2 linked regions of the Diceros bicornis minor genome follow. The protein of the gene in region 2 purifies or fractionates together with the protein of the main gene of each other region. This does not show direct contact. Links are inferred from orthologs where the notes say so. Each region holds a gene or a part of one and is shown on either strand. Other genes may lie near its edges.

The links. Proteins that work in one complex are often made in the same cells at the same time.
Region 1: the proteins of RARA (region 2) and KLF5 purify together in Homo sapiens (affinity purification with western blotting; 4 studies listed by BioGRID). This does not show direct contact. The link is inferred for Diceros bicornis minor from reciprocal best matches to the Homo sapiens genes RARA and KLF5.

What each region holds. Positions count from the first base shown.
Region 1 is NC_080748.1:53,134,635-53,142,598, forward strand, and holds the start of KLF5 (Krueppel-like factor 5), read left to right. Parts: upstream 1-4,950; 5' UTR 4,951-5,268; coding exon 5,269-5,514; intron 5,515-7,821; coding exon 7,822-7,964. UniProt on the Homo sapiens protein: Transcription factor that binds to GC box promoter elements. Activates the transcription of these genes.
Region 2 is NC_080757.1:39,814,929-39,822,193, reverse strand, and holds the start of RARA (retinoic acid receptor alpha), read right to left. Parts: upstream 3,088-7,265; 5' UTR 2,984-3,087; intron 1-2,983. UniProt on the Homo sapiens protein: Receptor for retinoic acid. Retinoic acid receptors bind as heterodimers to their target response elements in response to their ligands, all-trans or 9-cis retinoic acid, and regulate gene expression in various biological processes.

The sequences.
Region 1 (7,964 bases), on a different chromosome or scaffold from region 2:
CCTCTGCAGCCCAGGGCTCACCAGTTCGGATCCTGGGCAGGGACCTACAGACTGCTCATCAAGCCACACTGAAGTGGCATCCCACATAGAGCAATTAGAAGGATGCAAATCTATGACCTACAACTATCTACTGGGGCTTTGGGGAGAAAAAAGGAAAAAAGGAGGAAGATTGGCCACAGAGGTTAGCTCCATGTATTAAAAAAAAAATACATGGCAATTGTGGAAAATTTAGAAAATATTGAAAAGTATAAAGCAATGAAAAACTACCCATCATTTGACCATCCAGTGATAGCCCCCAAAATACATGCATGTTTTGTATTTTCTTTTCATCTTTATGTATATGTGTTTATAAAACCTCAACTTTTCTTTTACCTATCATATCATGAGTATTTTCCCGTGTGACTAAACATTCCCTAATACTACGAGTTTTGGTGGCAGAACAGTAGCCATTGTATGGATGTATTATTTAACCACTCTCCTATTATTGGACAACTGGGTTATTTTCAATTTTATTTTATGTATATATGAAAAATATATATTTCCTAGAGAGAGAATTATCTATCATTTTAAAAGGTTATTTACATTTTTAGCCTTCTTCATACTTATCGTCAAAGTATCCTCCTCAAAAGTTATACAAGTATACACAACCATCACCAGTGGAGAAAAGTTAAGGCACGAAGAGCTGGCATTGGTCTCAGCACTATTTTTACATATTTTATTTACAAGTCAACCTCCAGAGGGTATTCCCTTGTGACCCATGCACAGTTCATTTGAACGTTGTGTGTGCCCCACAGCCTAGTACCATTAATGCTTTTGTCATCACGTCAACAGCAATTGGCTCAGAACTCTGCTCATTGTGATGCTGGTGAAGTGGCCTCCTTAACGTTCTTAAAGATAGTTGGGTGTAACGGCCTCAGTGCAGGACTTTTCTCTTAACCTTTCCTATCATGTTAAGAGTGAGAATTCAAACACTGTACAGTTTAAGCTACAGTATGCCTGGCCTATAACTTGGCTCAAGACATTTATATTTACGTCATTTTTGTCTGCTTATTATACTAACAAGGTGGAAAAAGCAGTTCCAGTTCTCCCAAAAGGTAAAATTCTGGTTTTTTGTATATTACTAGAGTTTTTAAAAATAGGTTACAAAAATTACAGTACATTTAGGAATAAGTGCACATTGAGAATTTTGAGATATTTCATGAAGAACACATTTAAATCCAAACAAATATAAAATTTAATTTCTTAAGAACTGGGGTGGGAAATAGTACAAAAATAGAATATTAAGTTTTTTTCTTAAGACATTATTTTAATTTATGCAAAAAGTATATGTCATTTAAATTACATATTTTTTATCACAAAAGGAATGAACAGAATATCTTTTCTCCTGTCTCTTAATCTTTTGAGTCAAAATGATTCGAATTTTTTTCTGATCTCAGTTGAAGCTTCTATTTGTTATATTTTCTCAGTGGCATTTTTTTTTTTTTTTTTTGGAAGTGAGGCTTAAAGCAGTTGGCATTAATAAAAAAATAAAAAGATTAAAAACGTGAAATGTTTTAGATGACAATAATTATATTTTATGTTTCTATTGATACAGATTTAATACTAGGTGGACGATTAATGAATATCAAAACAGTCACTTTAAATTGAATAATCTAACCCTAGAGAAGAGTGTACTCCCCTTATAAAAAATTATTTTTACTCATTCTCGTGCTTTTTCTGTGGCCCAATATCACTTAGTAATTTGATTCTGATTTTACAGAAATGGAATAGTCTATGAATATTTTCCAATCAAAGTGAATAAAATATTGTCTAAAATACTCTAGATCCCTTCATTTCAAGCTCTCCCTGACGTTTTGGCCGAATAACTGAATACAGATATTTCTTTTGCCGTGTCTTCCTGTGAACATTGCCCCAGTGATAGCTTCATATTTCTCTCATCTCATCATTCGGAAGCTATTTATCCACTTTTTTCCACTGCCTCCTTCAAAATTCCCCCTCCCCCATCGTTGAATGCCTGTTCAGCCCCCACACATTCAGACACATTTATTCCCGTAAAGATAGTGACACTTATGGTTTATTCTAAGACTGAATCTGTGTTGCCCAGTGACTAAGGACTTAAGCATGCACACTGCTTCTACGCTTACCCTCCTACCTAACTTGACTACTCAACTTTTTATTTCTTTCCCTCAGATTCTCTGTTTTGGCACAGTTCAGTTAACACACCACTGCCAGGCCACTAATTGATTTCTGAAACCTGACATTTGTTTTTTGTTTTCTCCTATCTTCACTAATGGTACAGCACTACTAAGCAGGAAGGAATGCAAAGAACTAGAAAGTTCAAAGTAATTGAGGATCTGTCCATTCACACTGTCTGGCATCACGCCAATGTAGAACCTGGAACATTTGAAAAATATTTATCAAGTTTTAACCCTTTTTGCTAAGTCGATGAAGCAGGTTTGCAGCTGTGGCATTTGTGTTCGCAGCAACAGCAAGTCAGCTTGGTTGAACATGTTCTTTATATGTTCAGAACCCCATGGCAAATGTCTCAGAAAAGGATTACTTTCCAATTTCCGTACTATTGTACAGTGCTAAGCTAGTTATTTTCTAAGATTGCACAGTTGGGCATTTGAGAGAAACCATTACTTAAAAATGGCAGCCCTATTTCATGAATTTTTACGTCAGAAATGAAATTTAAATAAATGCTACTCTATTTGAGCAAAAAAAATTGTATTCAGCTTTTCTATTGTAAATTTGTTGCGAGCTCAGCCTTAGCTAGGTTCATATCTATATTTATTAAGAAAAGTAGAAATGTGAAAAAAATTAACAGGATTATAAAAATTTTGTTAACCATTTGTGAAATAGTTGGGTTCCCCTCCCACTGGGAAAGCTTTTGTAAATGAAAGCATGTTAAAAAAATGGCGTGAAATATAGAAACATCTCCAGTAAAATAACTATATTTTATTACATTGAAAACTTAGGTTGAAATAACAGGCCACTGATGCTCTGGTACAAAGAAAGACAAAAGGAAAGGTCTAGGAAGGCTTAAAAGCAAATAAAAATATAAATAAATACCAAATTGTATTAAATCTAGATTAGATTTAAAGTTAGAATACAAAAGTTCTATTAAGAGTTATCTATATCACACTCAGGTTCGATCATGTTATCAGCATTAAATAACTAAAACCTTTCAAAGTTCAATTTTCAAAAAAGTTATATTAAATCCCATACCAATTCTACAACCTGTTTCTAAGTTATTTAATTACATAATTGGCTTCAATATTAGAGAAAATCAGGACAGCTTTTTAAAGGTGAAGGTGGATAGTATGGAATTGTTTGCTTAGAAAAAAATTTGCAAAAACACTTACGAAATAGTACTTTGGAAACATCAAAGTACTCATCAACCATTATCTGAAAGCAGTGATCACAGCTATAAAAATGAATCATTTATTAACAAGAAGGGAATGAAAAGGAGAAAAAAATATATTTTACAGCACAATTTTATGTTTTCTAATAATAAATACCTCTCATACTTTATGTGTATACTAATTTTTTTAATCTACACACTGAAATGAGATCCATACCTTTGATAGACCCACTCTGAAGTGAACGTTTTTCTAAGAACTCGTTTTTTTAAAGCTGTTTTACTGTGAAATGATGAGTAGGCTGTTGTATTGTAAAATTGTCTAATAGGATAGTGTGCTGTCAACCTATATACATATGTAGTAATATTACAGGCATTTTTATTGCAGTTTCTTGTTCCGGCTTCCCAAAAAGCCAGATAAAATCATGTACAAGACTATTAAGGATTAAGGGAAGTGGTTTCCTTAGGTGATTGCTGGCAAAAATTCACCTTCCTATTATAACATAATAAATGGACGGTAATATATTTGGCTATTACTTTCCTACAAATTTGGGTTCCTAGTTTTCAGAGCTGCTGCGTGTCTAATATTTGTGGCTTCTTTGGTTCTCTTTTCGTAGGAAAAGGTATTAGGTAAATGTGCTACGTTTCTGTTTTGTAAATAGCAAACTCCATTTTTTGAACTTACAGTGCTAACAAAAATAAGTCAAAGATGTAATGTCTATTTAAATACATTTGATCTAGTCGTTAGTGCTTAAATTAGATTCCATGCTTCGGCTAGAATCAACAGGGTAAATATTAAAAACTTCAAAATTCGTATGGCCCATCCCCCTTCCCTCCACACACAGATATGAGTTAGAAATGTGTGTCAAAACTTCTAACCATTTAAATACTGTAGGAAAAAACAAGCTTTTATGCAAAGACAAAAAAATCTTGCCATTAAACCTTTTATTCAAGACATTCCGAATTTTCTTTGCTAAATGGACATGTTCACTGCTAAAGATACATAGAGACAAGAGCTGTTTTTAAATTTGTTTATCACACCGCCCCTAGTTTTCCGCTAAAGAAAAGTACATTTTGTATATTTAAAAATACCCACTCATTAAACAAGTTTCTAAAAACCTTAGCGCCCCCACCTAGCTGCCTTCTGGGTTTCAGCTTTTGAGTTTCAGGTCCTTGCACAACACCTAAGACGTGCAAAACTCTTTTTCTCCCTAATCCTGTCAGAGAACAGTCCGAAGAGATCTCCCTCCACGTCTCCACCCTAATTCCCTCTCTTCCTAGATTCCACCCGCTTCTCCCGGTCCCTCCGCCCCCGGCTCCGCCAGCCCAATCTGTCACAGAAGTTGTGTACAAACTGCGCGGCCGCCCTGAGCGCGAAGCTCGTGGCCCAAGAGGGGTGCGGTCGGCCCGGCGGAGGCGGGGCCCTGGGCGAACTCCTCCCTTCTCATAGGCTAGCCCCTCCGGCCCGGCCGGCCTCGGGGCCTCGCGATTGGCCGCAGGGCTGCCAGTTTGGTTGGCGGGCCCCGCCCACTCGGAGTTGGGTAAAATACAGGCGGGCGTCAAGTGTCAGTAGTCGTGGGGCAGGTAGGCGCGCTCGCAGCTCGCTCGCGGAGACCGGCGGTGGCGGGAGCGGGCTCCGGCGAGTGAGAGCGCGCGGTGGGGCGGGGCGGGGCGGGAGAAAGTGGCCGCCCGGAGGACGTTGGCGTTTACGCGTGGCGGAGCGGAAGAGTTTTGCTTTTTGTGCGCGCCTTCGAAACCCGCGCCTGTTGTTGCCTGAGGGGTCCGCCCGGAGCCTCCCCTCCTCCGCCCGCGGCCCCGCTCCGAGCTCGCCGGCCCGAGCCAGCGTGGGCGAGGTGGGAAGCGCGCTCGACCCGCGCCCCGCGCCCGGAGCCGCCCCCCGAGTGCCCATGGCTACGCGGGTCCTCACCATGAGCGCCCGCCTGGGACCCGTGCCCCAGCCGCCGGCCCCGCAGGACGAGCCGGTGTTCGCGCAGCTCAAGCCCGTGCTGGGCGCTGCGAACCCGGCCCGCGACGCGGCGCTCTTCCCCGGCGACGAGCTGAAGCACCCGCACCACCACCCGCAGGCGCAGCCCGCGCCCCCGCAGCCGCCGCCCGCCGCGGGCCCGCGGCTGCCCCCCGAGGAGCTGGTCCAGGTAGGCAGAGCGGCTCGCCTCCCTCCGCCTCCCTCCCGGGGCTCGGGCGTGTCCCGCCGCTGCGACGCGCGGGCGACAGGGGCCGCTCCAGGCTGGGGCGTGCGTCGGGGCGCACCGGGAGCCCCAGTGCGGTGGGCAGCCCCGCCCTGCCCTCCGAGGCTGGGCACCGGTGTTTCCTGGGGAGAAAGTCGGGGGCCCCGAGGGAGGGTGTCCAAGATGAATCTGCCCTGGCCGGTCCGTCCGGGAATGGTTGAAGAAGGAACTAGGTGCTCACGCGCACCTTGGTTGTTTTTCTTATATTTGGAGGATGAAGCCTCGTACCTCACGCCCAACTTTACTTAAATTCCGCCTTTCCCCGTAATCCGCCGCTCCTTCCAGTGCCATGGCCTTGGAGGTCACCCTATCCCGCGTCGTCTCGGGTTAAGTGGAAATGCAAATCGGGGTGCTGGGGTGAGGCCCCTCCGGGCGCTAGTTTCATACCCCTTGGTTCAACCTGTTTTAGACGCGATCGGGCGCTGCCTTTGGGAGACGGGAGTTAGAAAAGCTAAGGTTGTATTGGAGGGCTTATCTTCCCTTAAAAAGAAAGACAAAAAAAGACCAGGGCTGTTGTTTTCTTCATGTGCGCGTAAATTTCCTCCCGGAGCCGCGTTGAAAGCTGGCAGTTGGCTTTTACACTTGCCCGGCAGCCGAATTAGAGCAACCGCCTGTTTCTTTCGCCCACGCAGGGAGTCATATAGCCCAGAAAAAACTTCCCGGGACTTTTAGCCTGTACCAAGGAAAAAAAAAAGTTGGAAACATACCCACATGCAAACAGCTGGAAGAGCTAAAATCAGAAACCACTAACCACCACGGGAGCGAAGTGCATGAAGGGGTTTAGTTCGGTTTATTTCAAGACGCTTCATTTAATAGCCCCTTGGTATATTGTGTGTTGGCTACCCAGCTCCTACTCCGGGGGTCTGCGAGTGTCGCCGTGCTGTGAAAGGGCCAGGGGCATTTGTCAGAGATGTGACTCACATGACTAGAGCGATAATTTTTATTTTTAAATCGTGGCTATCCGGGAAACCCCGTCTGCATCCACACCGAATGATACGAGGTCCGATATGAAACACTTTTGAAATTAAGTAGTAGCAAAAAATGACTGCATTATTCACCGATTAAGATGCTACCGTTAATAGTTCTATGAGCCTTCTAGTTGGTGGGTTTTTTTTCTTTTGAAATTTCCTTTTCAGTGTTAAAAATCTATGTTAGACTAGGAGAGAAAATAGCTGTAAAAAGACTCAGGAGACTAGTTACAAGCTGGATTATGTCCTTAAAAAATCACTGTTTGGAAACGATTTGGTTATTTCAGTTTGTCAGTTTTCTGCTTAGGAGACACCAAGAGGGTAAGGGATGACTGAGCTTTTTACAGAGTAGGGGGGAATGTAGCATTGGCTCACTGAGGAGGACGTGATAAATGTTTTGCTGATGACTGTGCTAGCCGTTCTGCAGCCTCTCCCCACCCACAGGCCCCTTAGCACCAGTCTACCAAGGGAGTGATTTTCCCCTAGGTAATTAAAGATCTGTTTTAGATAGGGATATGAATAGGAACATTTCATTATCATATTAACCAATTACAGAATCTGCTGATTAAAATCAACATTTAGATCGAATGTCGAGTGTGAAGTTGTTTTGTTCTTTCAGTGGATACTATATTTTGCTCAAAACATTGTATTTAAGTTTCCATTGAACCATAAACGAGAAAAGACGCCAAAATAGCCGTGGAATGTTTTATATTAGATATTTCAGCAATATCTATCCAGGCAAAAAAAAAACTGCCATATTATTAAGATTTGCATAGTTTTTTTAAAAAAAAGTTAAACTCGCCTATATGGCATGAACAGAATCAAGGTAGTTTGGCGATATTACAATACTGTACTTGAGTTCTAAACGTAACTGAGTAATCGGGCAGGGAATCTTGCTTGTACGTGAGTAATAATAAAATATACTTTATTATTGCATCGGAAAGGAATATGTTTTCTGTTTGCTTCCTTTCTTTCTTGATTTTCCTCTTTCACTTTTTGTTTGGGGTTGATTGTGGGAGCAATTTTACCAAGTACAGGTTATACAGTTTCATAAGGTTTTGGTGAACTAGTTATTACACAATTGGCAAATAAACCTGATATGTTTATAAGCAACGCTTAGAAGGAGTTGGCCCTAGTACATTTCACACGGATTGTTGGGGGAATTTTTGGTAAGGACCCTTTTGTATGTCCTTCCTGAAATGATGAATCGGATGGATTATGCATGTTTGTATCTCTTCTTTTTTAGACAAGATGTGAAATGGAGAAGTATCTGACACCTCAGCTTCCTCCAGTTTCTATAATTCCAGAGCATAAAAAGTATAGACGAGACAGTGCCTCAGTCGTAGACCAGTTCTTCACTGACAGTGAAGGGCTGCCTTACAGTATCAA
Region 2 (7,265 bases):
CAGTGCCAACCACATTGTGGGCACCGAGAGGGCAGGGCCTGGCTCCACGGGCTGGTCTTTTGAGGGCAGAGAGAATTGGCACGGGGAAGTTTGTGCTGGTTTCCTTCACCCTGGCCCAGCTGGAGGGAAGACAAAATAGTGCCCCAGCTTTAATTATGCTAATCCCCTGCTCCCCAAAATGTGTGGGTGCAGACATAGGGATTTTGAGAGCCACCCCCAGATACCATGGGGAAAAAGCTAAAAAGGATAGCAGAAAATCTTGGCTTCCACATGTAAAGATGGAAGCCTGAAGGTGAGAACAGGCCATGCCTGCCAGGCTGGGCATGTGCTGCCTCCAAGCTGAGTCAGAGGCTAGGAGGGAAGGATCAGGGTGCTATGGTGCCAGGGGCTACAGTGCACCCACCCTTATCCCACCTGGGATTCCTGACACCTCCCAGCCCTGGGAGAAGGCCCTCCTCATACAGGAGGAAGGAAACCAGCTTAGCGACTCTCTGGAGGCCTGCAGGGCAGCCCTGCACCATGAGGCAGGCAGGAAACCCAGGAGTCCTGGCACCCAGCCCAGAGAGTGAGTGAGAGAAATACCTTGGAGGGGAGGAAACAGCCCAAGTGAGGTAGACACATGGTGCCCCTAGCAGCTCCCAGACGAGCCCCATAAGGAGAACTGGCCAAAGGGGCTGGATGGGGAAAGGGAACACATTTCTGAATAAGAAGAGAGAAGAAAGTGGTGCCATGGGGATGGCGGGGGGGGGGGGGGGGGGCAGGGGGGGTAGCCTGGCTCTCACCTGCTGTCCTCTCCTCCCTGTCAGAGTCAGAGATACTGACATTAAGGCCACCAAATATCCAAGAGGTCCTGGGGTCCTGGGTGTGTTTCCCACTCCCCTAATCTTCAGACCCCAGCCCCTTCATTCCTGAGCTTCTTCTGGCACCCCTTCCCCAGGGCCAAGCCAAACCGGGAGTCAGCAGGCCCAAGGTGGTGCCTGGGAGGCCTGGGCAGTGCCAGGGGCAGCCCTCATACCATCCTCCCACTGGCTTCCCTCCCGCCTGCTCTCAGCCGCCACACACATCTCAGCTGTCGAATCCGATTAGGGCTCCTGCCCAGTGAGCCGGACAAGGAGGCCACTGGGCAGGGGAGAGACAGGGACAAGGACGTGGAGCAGGAATGGCAGAAGGAAGGTGGAGACAGGGCTTGGGGGAGAAGGTGTGGAGCCCCAGAGGAAGAAAAGCCTGGTAGAGAGATCTGTCCTCTCTGACCACAGGCGCTCTGGCATCAGCTACAACTGGCATTAGGGGAATTCTGCAGAACCCTGGGGCAACAGCCCTGCCTGGTTCCTCCATTCCCCAGATGGGCAAGGATGGGGGAAGGAAACTGAAGGCAGAGAGACTGACCTAGATTTAGGAAGAGAATCCCATCCTAGAACCCTCCCCACCCTCTGCACTCCAGCCATAACTACCATTTGCACTGGGCTTTACAATATACTGTCTTAAGGCATCTTGATAGCATTATCTCTACCAGGCAAGCGGGGCTTGTTACTGATCATCATTTTTACAAGTAAAGAAACAGAGGCTTAGAGACCTGTATAAATGCACATAGTTAAATGACAGGGCTGAGTCTCAAATTCAGGCCTCTGATTCTCAGTCCACTGCTTGCACTCAGAATCTCTACTTTTCTCCCTGGGTCAAGAGCAGAACTAAGTCTGAAATTACTCCAATCTCCACCCTTTCCTCCAAACCAACCCCACACCTAGACAGAGTTACCAGATAGGGACATGGCACCCACCTCCAACACACAGAGAGCTAAAGGGGTTCCCCCAAAGTGTTTCCAGTCTCTTCTATCACTCCCCTCCCCAGTCCGCTACACCCAGAGGCAATATACACACTCACACACAGAGTTACTCATACACTAATCCTGCAAACCCACCAAACCATAATGAGGTGCCCTAGATCTTCAGAGAGCAGGGCTTGTCAGTCCCCCGCTGGAGAGAGAAACAAGCCACTGTAAACAGTAGGTGCCATCCAGCCCTCTCCCCGAGAGCCTGCAGGAGGGCAGAAGCTTCAGGGTAACACCATGAGCCTGAGGCTCTGAAAGCCGAGGAGCCCAGGTTGCTGGCATGGCTGGGTGGCCTTCTGGATGTGGTCCACACCCCCATTCCCAGCCATCTGGGCTGAGCCTGTTCTGGCCTTGGCCAGACTCTGGGATCTCTCCCCTTCAATGCACGCAGCCACCTCTATCCAAAGCTTATAGATCTTACAAGTATATGGTACACACACACACACACACACACAAACACACACACACACACAAACACACAGGGGGTGGGGGGGCAGGTGGAGGACTTTCCTACAGGCGTTGAGGTGTTGGCAGGGATGGGGGCTCTAAGCTGAAAGAACTTTCCCCAGAGGAAAAGGTCACCAAAAACCGCTCACAACCTCCACCATTCTCCAGCAAAGGCTTTGGCCACCCAAGTGTGAGATGAGCCTGGAAAGGGACGTTAGTTCCCCTACAAGGTGAGTAGGGAGGAGGGGGTGAAGTCCTGAGTTCTTGGGCTTGGGAGGCAGAGAGGAAGCAAGAGAGAAATCCCCCAGGGGGGCTCAGGTCCCTCTCCTGCTCCCTCTGTTCTCTATTACCCCAGCACTGCCAATTCTCCTGTCGAGGTGAGGTGGGGGAAGGGGTATTAGGCAATACTGCAAAGGAGGGTGCAAGGGCGTGAGGCCTGAGCAGACCTTCCCCTCACTTTCTATTCTTAGCCAGAGAACAGGGAATGCCTCGGGGGAAGTGCAGGAAAGGCGCTGGAGGGTGCAGGGGCTCTGAGTTTCAGACACCCCACTGTTCCCAGGCTCCCACCTCCCAGGACTACAGTGAGCGGTGGGGGAGGAGGGACGGGGAAAGCCTCAACTGGCGAGAGGGAAACGACCAGATCGGAAGCGAAGAGGCCCGGCGGCAAGCAGCCGAGGGAGAATTGGGAAGGGGTGTGTGTGGTCCTACCTGTGGTCCTGCCAGGTGCGTGCTGGCATGAGGGCAATGGGGTTCCCAGGAGAACCGGGGAAGCCCTCTCAGCTCGATTCAGGATTCCCCTCTGCTTCTGGGTTAGGCTGCTGCAAGAGGCTCAGGTTCCCGTTGGGTCCTAAAGCCCAGTCACCACACAGTAAGCTCTCCCCGCCCTCTTCCACCAGCCCCGACTGGGTCATCGGGTGCAGAGCTGAGGACTGATGGGAGAGAAAGAATTCACTGGGAGAAAGACTGAGAGAAAATCTGAGTCATGGGCTGGAGACAGGAACAGTCCCCAATCTCAAATACACAGCACATGGATGACTTTAGCTGAGGATAGGATAATACAGTACAGGAGAAAAAAGACATTTCTTCCTGCCTGCCCCAAGCAGATGGATTTGGGCTTTGGTGCTGAAGATGGGGTTAAGATCTCTTTCCCTATCACTCCAGCTAAGCCACTTAGCTATGGAGAATTTGGGGAAGGGGGCATTCATTTTGGAAGGGTGCTCATTTCTACCCTATCCCTCGTAGATGTAGCAGTCTCCTCATCCCTCCCCACTATTCCTAAATGCCAAGAAGGCCACCCCTTGATTTCCAGTAAGTAAAAAGGGCAGTATAATTTGGATGGCAGTTGGAAACTGCTGTTTTATACCCTTAGGCTGAGGTGTATCTGGGAGTGTTGAGGTATGCAGATTATGCATATACAGTGAGAGTGTGAGCAGGTGGGGCTGGGTGACTGAGCTCCATCCATTACCAGAAATGGCAATTGTCAGTGGAAGAACGAGGTGCAGAATCTAGGGGTCAACTAGTGGCCCTACTCAGCCCATCCTGAAACTTTACCAGGATGAACAATCTAAAGAGAATGTTTTCCCAGGTACCATTTGGGATAAATATAGGGGGCAGAGGGGCCTCTTAACACACTTAGATCAACTTCAAGGTTACAGAGCCAGTTTAGGATAGCCGATCTTCTCAGTAGCTCCAAAGGGAGAACTCAGGTTTGGTGGGCCAGGTGGGCCAGGGAAAGGTGGATAGGAAGGCTGCAGGGGGCTGGATTGAGAACATTTTGCAAGGAGAGTTGCACATATCTCCCGCAGCAGCAGAGCAGGGAAAACGTCATGGGGTAAAGGGCCAGGGGAAGTCAGGGACAGACTTGAGGGAAGGGAGAAAGCATGGCCTCTTCCTAGAAGGGGAGAGGGCAGTAGCATTGCCTCCACCTTCTTCTCTGTCTTGCAAGAAAAATGGGGAAAGAAGCTAGATAGTACAGAAGGACAAGGGCCTCAGGGTGGAGTCCATGGGATGAGCTCAGGTCAAGCCTTTCACCCTAATGTGCCTCAGTTCCCTCCCAGCTGTTACACCGGGCTCTTGGTTCTTCCCAGGCAGTTAATGAGTGTTTACAAGAGCTTGGAGATCCTCAGATCTCAGCTGAGCCACCACTACAGTTATAAAGCTCAATAAGGGCTGAGTGTTATTTGGGGAAGGGAGGAGCAAGGAAAGAGGGAAACAGACTACTCTCTTACAAACTAAGGATACAACCAAGCTCAGAGCAGCACAATCCTCAGCTGCCACAGGATATCCTTGTGCCCAGGGATGGAGGTCACGTACCCTCGTACCTCCAACAACCAACGGCTGGTCTCCAGCTAACTGTAGGCAGAACCCAGACTAACAGCTGGTCTTCATTAACTCTAGCTTTTTTCACCCCCCACTGTGAACCCACAGCTTCTACAGCCCTAGGCCAGTGGGGGCTGCCCTAGCTGACCTTGCAACTGACTCTGGGTTGGGGGGTGCTGCACCAAAGGCCAAGTTACCAGCTGAAAATAAAGTTGAAGCAAGTCTCCCTTTTCCCACTGGGAGGATGAAGAGAGGAAAGAAAGGAGTGTGGGGGTGAGAGGCTGGAGGTGGGGGAATTTAGGGCAAACAGCAGGCAGTGAAGTCAGCTGGATTGAGGCCCAGAAACCCCCACACCCTTTGGCCAAGTTTTACTCTAGCTTTGCTTTCAGCTTGAGTCTTGGCTAGGCCCCAAACTAGGGAAGGCCCTGGCTGCCCCTTTCTGCCTCCCTACCCCCACCCTTATTAAATACACATTTTATCTCTCAGCATCTTCATTATCTTAACTGAAGGAGACAAGCAGTGGATGGCGGCAGCAGAGAGCGTCAGGAGGGGGGGCGGGTGCGGGGAGCAGGCGCACCCTTGTTATAAAATGCTGATCTAGCTGTTTCAGGCAGTGTGGGAAACAGAGGAGGGATCAAAGGGAGTGAGGCTGATTCAGAACTCAATTAGAGCTTTTTAAAAAAGGAGCTGGCTCTCTCCTTTCGCCAGTCTTCAGACAGCCTTTACCCAGGCCCCTTGCACCCAGTTAGCTTCTACTGCCAGTACCTTGGGGTTGGGGTTAAAAATGAAGAAGAGGCCAGAGGTCACGCCTTCTCCCCTACAGAAGCCTTTCTTCTGAGAAGAGGGAGACCTGCCTCTGTCGGTAGCTTAAAAGAGAATGTCTTAGAGAGCACCTTATCTTTTTAGGAGGAACCCAAGATTACAACTTTCCCCAAAAGTGAAAATGTGGGACATCAAAGGTGGGTTCCTTCTTAATCCCTTGCCACCTAGAGGCACAGCTTCTGGCCAATCTCTAGGGACATAGGTAACATCCAGACAGGTACCCCTCCTCCCACCTGGTAGGTAGGACTCTCCCCATAGGCAAGGCTTCCTGGGAGCAACATGGAAGTTGCCTTAAGCAAAATACCACTACATCAGAGGGAGCGATTGGAACGCATATGTGAGGCCAATAAATCCTCCACATTTTGTAAGATGGAGCACCCTTCTTTTACAGGGGCCTGTTCTACGTCAGTGCAAAAGCATCAGCCATGTTTACCTCCAGATCAGAACTGTCCTCAAGACGGAAGGAACGGCAGCAACTTGGTTCATTTCTGTTCATTCAACAATTGCTTACTGAATACCTACCAGGTACTGGGCTCTGCACTAAGTGCTGGAGACAGACACAAATGTAAATAAAATCTCAATCTTGGCTCTCTCTTTTGGTCTTCCTCCACAGTCAAGGTAACACCTCTCAAAACATATTTTTAAAAATCTCCAAGTCGTGTCTCATTCCTACTTCCCAGTTCTTATTGGTGTATCTTAAAAGGGCACTTAATAAAGGCAGGGACCAAAGTGGGGAAGAGAGAACAGAGCTCTGCCAACATTTTTTGATCTCTGGGTAGCTTGGACCTCACACACTCTTGCCAGTTATCTAGCCACAGGCAAGTCTTCATTGAGCCAGAAATGTCAGCGGTAGCTCTGGGGTTGAAACTCACACCAATTTTATTGTGTCTATGTTCTTTCCATGGCAATACCCACCAACGCTCTATGGAAGCTTAATCTGCTTCTCTGAAGAAAAATAAATAAACCAGGATATAGACACACACCCCACCACCTTCAAAAGGAAGAATGTAGGTCAGCATCTTTTGCCACTACTCTATGTGAAACAGCCTATGATCCTGGCAAAAACTAGTAACCACAAACCCATCCCATCCCACTAAAAATCCCAGCACCTTCCCATAGCTCTCAGCTTCAGCAAGAAAAGGATTTTCTTCCTCCCCTCAATCTGCTCCTCGGCTGTTTGAATTACACTTAAGACTTCACTGACAAACATACATCAGCTTTTGCTCCCACAAGGGCAGCGGAAGCCAAGCAGGGACTCTAAGTCTGCTTCACGCATCATTGACAGAACCAACCCTGTTCCAATTGCTGAAGTCTTAAGAGCAGCAATGACCTAGAAATTGACGGTGGGGAGAGAACTGAAGGAAAGGAAACTGACAAACCAGTACACAGAAAACCCTATTTCCAAATACCCGGGGAAAGGGAGAGAAGGGAGGTAGAGGGGAAAAAAATTTGGCCCCTTGGATCTGCAAATGCAATCTTGGCTCAGAGCCATGGAGGATACATAGCAGCCCCACTGCGAGTCAAGCCATGTTCCTGACTCAAGCCCTAAAGTTAAGAGGAAGGCGCCAAGCCTCAAACACAACGAGGTGGGGAGGCCGCTCCTTTTTGGGCAGGATCCTACTGTGGACACAGAACAGACAGCAGCTGCCCACAGTGTGGAAACAAACTGTAAAGCAGTCACGTCTCTTAAGGCTGCAGCATCCAATAAAATGTAATTTAAATCAAGCCTCGCATCTGTTCTCAATCCCATTCAGTCTCTGCTTTCCATCAGCCTTCGGACAATCTTTGCAATTATGCTTGTTAACCCTTATAGCCCCAGACACTTTCCAAGCTTCTAGGTATAGAACTG